Linked DNA regions of Coturnix japonica. The protein of the gene in region 1 purifies or fractionates together with the protein of each later gene. This does not show direct contact. Links are inferred from orthologs where the notes say so. Each region holds a gene or a part of one and is shown in the gene's direction. Other genes may lie near its edges. The genes, in order: KATNA1 and KATNBL1.

Evidence for each region.
Region 2: the proteins of KATNA1 (region 1) and KATNBL1 purify together in Homo sapiens (affinity purification with mass spectrometry; 3 studies listed by BioGRID and IntAct, counting the BioPlex papers as one, with this or other methods). This does not show direct contact. The link is inferred for Coturnix japonica from reciprocal best matches to the Homo sapiens genes KATNA1 and KATNBL1.

What each region holds. Positions count from the first base shown.
Region 1 is NC_029518.1:43,361,268-43,365,087, reverse strand, and holds part of KATNA1 (katanin p60 ATPase-containing subunit A1), read left to right. Parts: intron 1-1,727; 5' UTR 1,728-1,731; coding exon 1,732-1,902; intron 1,903-2,587; coding exon 2,588-2,745; intron 2,746-3,820. UniProt on the Homo sapiens protein: Catalytic subunit of a complex which severs microtubules in an ATP-dependent manner. Microtubule severing may promote rapid reorganization of cellular microtubule arrays and the release of microtubules from the centrosome following nucleation.
Region 2 is NC_029520.1:26,549,067-26,552,886, reverse strand, and holds part of KATNBL1 (KATNB1-like protein 1), read left to right. Parts: intron 1-774; coding exon 775-815; intron 816-1,175; coding exon 1,176-1,455; intron 1,456-2,666; coding exon 2,667-2,785; intron 2,786-2,956; coding exon 2,957-3,007; intron 3,008-3,102; coding exon 3,103-3,192; intron 3,193-3,739; coding exon 3,740-3,820.

The sequences.
Region 1 (3,820 bases):
AACTTTGGTAACATCTGTGTGATGATCCAGGCAGGTGTTGACAAATATCTTCAGGCTCTTTCTCCTGAGGTTAAAAAACGCAACAATACTCCCAAGTCAAGTTGTGTCTCCAGAGCCTAATCACACAGGGACATGGCAGGCTTTGTAGTTGCTGGTCACGGGAACCATCCCAGTTTGCAGATGCGGCTGTGGCAGGCTCAGCAGGTCTCTGGGCAGAATGAGCTGTGTGGTGCAGGCTCTAGTAGTGAGCTTCCAGACCCAGCCCTGCAGGTGCCATCCCTCCTGCATGGCCCTGCACGTGGCTACACATGGGCTAGTGGGGCTGCTCGCCAACTCCACTGCTGCCAAATTTTGCTGCTAGGGCTGAAGCTTTTCTCATCAGCTTCCTGCTTCGAGGGGAACCAGGCAGGTGGAGAAAGGAAGGAGGAAGTTGTGTTGGCTTAAGAATGGATCAGCATTTATTAATCCATGCATAAAGTTACGTGTGAGGAGAAAAGAAAAAGGAGGAGCGGAAACCTTAAAATGTTTGATTTGTACTTAGCAGCTCCTCCTTTAGGCACTGGAATGCACTGCCCAGGGAGGTGGTGGAGTCACCGACCATGGAGGTGTTCAAGAAACGTTTGGATGTTGTGTTGGGGGATATGGTTTAACTGGGAAGTATTGGTGATGGTTGGACTAGATGATCTTCTAGGTCTTTTCCAACCTTGATAATTCTGTGATTCCTCCTTACGGAGGGAACATCACATTTTAGCTGTGGATTATCTGGTGTGCAGTACGACTTCTGACACCTCTGGTAATGTGTCCAATTTTGACCATGACCTGGTCTTGAAATATGTTTTGTTTTAAGTCCTTTTATTGTGCGTATGAATTCAGTGCCTCTTACATTCTTTAAATAGTTGATCTGTATCAAGTATGCTTCATCCCAGGGCTTAGCAGTAATTGCTTGTCTGCAATTGCTCCTTACTGGTCCTGGGTAAAGGTACTGAAATGAGAGCAAGACAACTCTCACAGGCTTGTTTATTTGCTTATTTGGGTGTTTTCTGTGCTTAGTTCTAGGCAATTTGGAGGAGAGCAGGTCAGTTCTTGGTGAGTAAGCAATGGGAAGGATAGAGATGGTGCAGGTGTGGAATGAGATATGTAAATGATATGTAAAACAGAGGAGGACTGCTGTATGAACAAAGGCTGAATTGGGAAGACTGAGTCTGAGTCTGCCCTACTCCTGTTTTTGCTTGATATTCTATTCTAGTCCAGTTGTTGCTGTACTTGTGTTAATAGTTGTAGCGCTAACGCATCTGGAGGAAAGTTTGGGGCTTTTTGGCTGTGGGTGTTTTTTTGTTTGTTTTTTCTTCTTTTTTAACTATTATGGTTATAGAACAGAGGATGTTGTAGCACTAACAGTAAGATACCGAATTATCTTGCAGTAGTGCAAAGAGGGAAGGAGAGTGTGCAGTTTTGGCTTGTAAACATGCATTAAATCTGCATGTTTTGCATATACTTTTCATCAGAGTCTGTCTTGCGTGAAATGAGAAGTTCCATTTCTTTCAATAGAGAAACAATTAACTTTCTGTATGGACGACATACATTCTAGAACTCTTTTATTAACAAAGTATTTCCCACTTCTATATTTAGATATGATTGTTAGGGTAACAATAATGTAAAAATAGTTGCGAAAATGTTTTTTCCTCCTGGATTTTTTCATTAATGTAAGTGTTTGCTGTCTTTTTCAGCTTCATGTTGAACATGAGCCTTGTTATGATCAGTGAGAATGTAAAGCTGGCCCGTGAATATGCCTTACTGGGAAACTATGACTCTGCAATGGTCTACTATCAGGGAGTTCTTGACCAGATGAATAAATACCTCTACTCTGTCAGAGATACGTACCTGCAGCAGAAGTGGCAACAGGTAAATAATCCATTTCTGGGACATCATTCTGAGGGTAAAGCATTAAACTAGCAGAAAGTGCTTTGTTGGTGGTGAACAGAAGTATAAAAAGATTTGTATAATTCTCTGATAAACTGTAGTATTGTAGTATGTATATATTTAAGGCTTTGTTATGCTCTGATACTGATGAAGTAGACTATGAAACACATCCATGAGGAGCCATTGCACTGTCTGCCTTGTCTTCTTCTTGCTGATCTGTGCCCCTGCTGTGCTGAAGTTTTGGGTTTTTTTCTAGCTAGTACTGTTCTCAGCAATCATATTTCACGTAATCCCTGTTTCAGTAGTGTGACTTACAGATCCTTAATTGAAACTGACCTGTGGCTTCCATGTTAATTTATCCTTATCACAAGACGTTAATTCTTCATTGACGTTCCCTCTATAAAGTTGCGTTCTCTTTTCATGTATAATGTTTATTAAACAAAGTTTGTCAAATGTCTCATTAGTATTTAATTCAAAATCTTTTCCTTAATCCTGGGAAAAGCAGAAGGATGTTTTTAATGGTTTAGCAAAGTAGGATCAGGTAGTTTACAAAACTTTGTGAAGACCATCCAGGCATTACTTAGTCTTAAGCAGAAGTCTGCTTCAAACTTACTTAGTTCCACTGTGTTTAATCCACTTTTTTTGTTGTTTTTTCCCTATTTATCAGGTTTGGCAGGAGATAAGCGTGGAAGCTAAGCACGTGAAAGATATCATGAAAACACTAGAGAGTTTTAAACTAGACAGTACTCCACTGAAAGCTTCACAACAAGAACTACCAGCTAATGATGCAGAAGTCTGGTCTTTGCCAGTACCTGCTGAGCGGAGGTAAGAAGTAACTTGTATTAACACTTACCAGTGCAAAGTGTACTTTGACTTCAGCCTGTTCCTGTGAAGATTTTGTTCCAGAGTTTATACGAGTTATATAACACACCAGCTGCATAATTTTTTGTTAAGCAAAACAAAAACCCAAACCAACAAAATCTCATTTGCTTGTTCTGTTTTGTTTTGCCTGAGGGTGGCTTTCTGCACTACTTAGCTGGAGTTTGTAACAACTGGTAGAGATAGCATGAAGGACAGGACAGGAGAGCATGCAAGACAGGTGTGGAACTGTGTGTTTTGACAGAATGTAACTGTTAGACCTACATAGCTGTATGGTCAGATTGTTCTTTGAGGCTCTGTGCTTACAGGCCGTTTCTCACAGATTTATTTTAAGCCTGCTTTCTGAAAGAAATGGGTCTTTTGTTCACATTGTTTCTGTTTATCTCATTTAATAACTTTGGAACACCTCTAAAAAGGAAAAGTCTTGGTGGACAGAACTCTTTCTGTTCCGTTTACTATGCCAGCTGGTTAGCTGGTGGGTTGTTGTAAAGATGAAAAAGCCACAGTGAAAACTGGTCATGTTGTGTTGGAATAATTTCTGTAGGTTTCTATACTGAGACAGCAGAACACACTAATTTTGATGGAACTGAGGTGTCAGAACAGATTATTCCTTTACTTTGAGCTTTGTAATGGAATCCAGAGGTGGCTAAATATTCATAAACACAAGTGTAGGTTGGTAAATACTTCATTTGGAGAGTGAAAAGACTTTAATGCTTATAATCTTATCATTAGCATATTCTTGGTACCTAACTTGCATTTCACTTGAAGCAGTTGTATGCTTTTGACAAACCTTCTCCTGTGAATAAGTTAAATTCAACTTTTATGAAGGTAATTTATCCTGATTAATCTTAAATGAAACGTCAAAACACATCTTCTGATTTGGATAAATGCTTTCCAAATCACTTTTCCATTTTCTGTTCTATAGAAACATCCCTAAACTTAAACTTGGCTGGTAGCTCATTGATGCTGGAATTTTAGGAACTCCTATGGAAAAAGTGTATCTGTAAATGTACTGGATTTC
Region 2 (3,820 bases), on another chromosome or scaffold:
TGTCCATGCAAGCAGCACATACCAATTTGGTTCTGTTCCTCTTCTTTCCTGTGGTCTCATCAGAAAATGTTCTAGGTTAGGAATTCTGTTGTCAAAAAGTTTTCCCTTGTCAAGAGATGGCAAATCTGAGAGGTGGGGTAGGAGAAACAGTTCTTAAAACATTGAATTTTACTATAAAATAAACATTTAGAAATTAATATTCAAATTATTGCTTATTTTTTAAGGGTTTTATGTATCTGTATGGTATAACTCAAATGAATTGTTAGTCCTTCATGATATTAACATTCTTTGCTGCCTCATTGGCATCAGGATGCTTATTTTTCCTGTTAGTGAATCTAGGATAATCAAACTGATTCTACCAACGTCAGCCTTCATTTTTTGTTATTGTTGTGCTTTGGAGAAATGTTTGCTGCTGCCATCTTTCCTGCATCTGCTAATCTGCTGGATTGTTGGCAATTAAGTGTTTATCAGAGATGGGTAATATTGCTTTTTTTATATTAGTCACAGTTTTTAGTTCTGTCAGTCTCTGATGTCACAATCCTACCTATTCCAAAGGCACCACAAACCTTTAGTTGATTGTGGTGCCACAAGGACAGCTGTACATCTGTATGTCACTGTGAAATAATTTGCAAAAATGCTACTGTAGCTGTGTGTCAATGAAATAGAGAAGGTGGCTGGGAGGGAATCTGCAGTGAATGCATTCCTTGAAAAAGCAGTGATACTGTTTGAGTCTTTTTAGTAATAGCCTGACTTTCTTTATTCCCTTTCTCCCAGGATAAGAAATCTCCAAAACAGCTGGCTTCATACACAAACAGGTAGGAGGGTCTTTCTGTTTAGAGTCTGAAGTTTCAGGAGGGAGCGAAGCAGGGAGGAAGAAGCAATTTAAATTTATTACAACACCCAAACTGTCACAATGAAAAATGGTAACTGTACTGACAGTGCTTGCTATTTGCCCATTTATGTAATGACTTTATTTTTAAAAAAGCAGAACAATAATATTGGTGGTAGAACTTATTTCTGATAACTCAAGTGTCATAAGGCTGTGTACTGGGGGTAAAATGTTGAAGTGGCCTGGAAGTTTAATGCTGAATTCATAATGATATATTTTAGATTCATATGAAGTATTGACTTAGGTTTAGAATTACCTTTACTAAAATATTCATGTGTTTTTGCAGAATAACAGTTGGAAAAACGGTGACCAGTCCCCTATTTCTCTTCAAAGCAGTACATTGTAAAAGAAAAGTCTATAGTTACACTGCAAAGCCTTGTTACAAGAAGAAACAGTTCCCTAAATCAAGGGGCTATAACATGGCAAATAAAGAAAATGAACTAGCTTGTGCAGGGAATCTGCCAGCAAAACTGAATGATGGTCGAACACACTTGCTGAATTCTAGTGACTCTGGCTCGTCTCAAACAGAAGGCCCCTCTTCCAAATATAGTGCATTTTTTTCAGAGGTAAGTTGAGCTTAAAGAAATCTGAGTTCAACATAAGTATTTGTAGTAGTTTTTGTGTAGTTGGCTGTGAAAGTTTTTATCGACCAGATTAGTTTTCTTAACATACAGATTGGCTCAGTTTGTGATTTGCAGTCTTTATTCCTCGATAGACTATGATTTAGTTGCCAGCAGTAGTAGTCCTGCCACTTTATCAGCACAAACTTAGATCTGACATCAAGCACCAAGTCAAAAATGTTGTTTTGTCCAGGTTAGATTTTATGACTTAAGTGGCCTAATTTGTTTTTAAGGTGTTATTGTATGGCTGGAAATAGCTAGTGAGGTTGGATGGGACTGTTTTTAATAGCTTTAGCTTGGTGTCAATGACAGCAATTTAAATTATTACATAAGACTGTTCTTACAGAGATTAGTAAGTATTAGTATGAGTAAAGTATTATTCTTTACTCATAGTAAAGAATTTCCTCCTAATATCTAACCTAAACCTACCCTTCTACTTAAGAAACCATTACCTTCTTGTCCTATCACTGTTCTACATGAGCAAGTCTCCCCATCTTTCTTGTAGGCTGTGTTTACATTGGCCTTCTTAATGTTTCCCCAAAGTCTTCTCTTCTGTAGCCTGATCAGTGAAAACTCCCTCAGCCTGTCTTCTCAGGAAAGATGTTCCAGCCCTCTGATTATCTTCATTGCCCTCCTCTGGACCTGTTCCGACAGCTCTGTGTTGCTCTTGTGCAAAGGGTCCCAGAGCTGGACGCATTACTGCAAATTGGGTCACACAAGAGCAGAGTAAAAGGGATCAACCACCTCCCTCAAACTGCTGGCCATGCTTCTTTTGATGCAGCACAGGAAATACAATGGACTTCCTGGGCTGTGAACTCACGTTGCTGGCTTATATTAAATATTCTCCAATTGATAAGCATCTAAACAAGCACTTCTCAGAGTTGGTGAGACTTAAAGGTTAATGCTTATGAGTGCTCTAATTATTAGATATCTCAATTCAGGTGTTTGCAAACTTTATTTCTGCAGATTTTGGGTAGAGTAGAAGGTCTGTTGGTGTCTGGTTCTAAGGTTGTTATTAGGAAAACTTCTAATAATTATACCAGGTGGTAAAATAGATTTTTATATACTCCAGCATTGCCATACTGAAGCAGCTTATTGTGTCATTGCTGACTACTTAACTTGCAGTAAATTTCTTCTGTATTCTTAAAAACATACAGGTTTCTCAGGACCATGAAACCATGGCTCAAGTTCTGTTTAGCAGGAATCTGCGGCTGAATGTTGCTTTAACCTTTTGGAGAAGGAGAAGTATAAGTGAACTGGTAGCCTACCTAGTGAGGTAATTTTTTCTCTCTTCCTCTGTATTCTTAAAGTGTAGCAAAACCCAAATATGATGCAGTCTTTTAGGGTTTCCTTAAATCTTGTAAATTAGCAATAATTACTTATTAATGGAAACACAGTTGAACCTATGTTCGACTAGTGATACTTGTTTTATCTTTCATGTTTCTAGGATACATGATCTTGGAGTTGTAGTAGACTGCCTTCCTGTGCTTACAAACAGGTACAAACAGAAAGTGGGACATGTGAACATGCTGTACCCACAGTGAATTTCTGGCACTTCTGAAACACCTTGTTTTTTTGTTTTTTTTTTTTAAGTTTACAGGAAGAAAAACCATATATTTCAGTTGGCTGCTGTGTAGATCTTTTGCCTTTAGTGAAATCACTACTTAAAAGCAAATATGAAGAGTAAGTATCAATTTCAGATGTCTAAATGCTCTTCCTTGCTGCTTGTGTTTTGCCCATGTATTTAAAGATGTTTTGTCCTCTGTCTCATCTTCCTTTCCACCAACCCTGCCTTTCTTGGGATAACACCTACCTAAAGGAGCCTCCGCATGAGCCCTCGTGTTGTTTTTAATAACATTCAGAAGTTTAAATTAAAAAAGAAGAAACTTCTGCAGAGTTAAGAACCACAGGGGAGGAGTTGCTTTTTGATGTCATGTAGATACAGTTGTAGATACAGTCATTCTAAACAGTAAAGCACAAGGGCAGCGAGGTTTCAGCATTTTCGGTAACACAAAATCAGTAAGACTTTCAGGTATAAGATAAATCTCACTACTTCTAAAGAAGAACTTCAGTTTACAACTTAAAAAATAAGAACACAAGCAATTGTCTAAAACAGAATTTGTCTAGGTTTGTCTTGCAAGACAGATGTGTTGCTTTCTAAGTTGCATTCTTGTATGAAGATATTAGCTGACCTGTGGATGTTTGAATCGTGTCAAATATGTTATTGCAGATATGTGATAGTTGGCCTAAACTGGCTTCAAGCTGTAATTAAAAGATGGTGGTCAGAACTATCTGCGCATAAAGAGAGGGC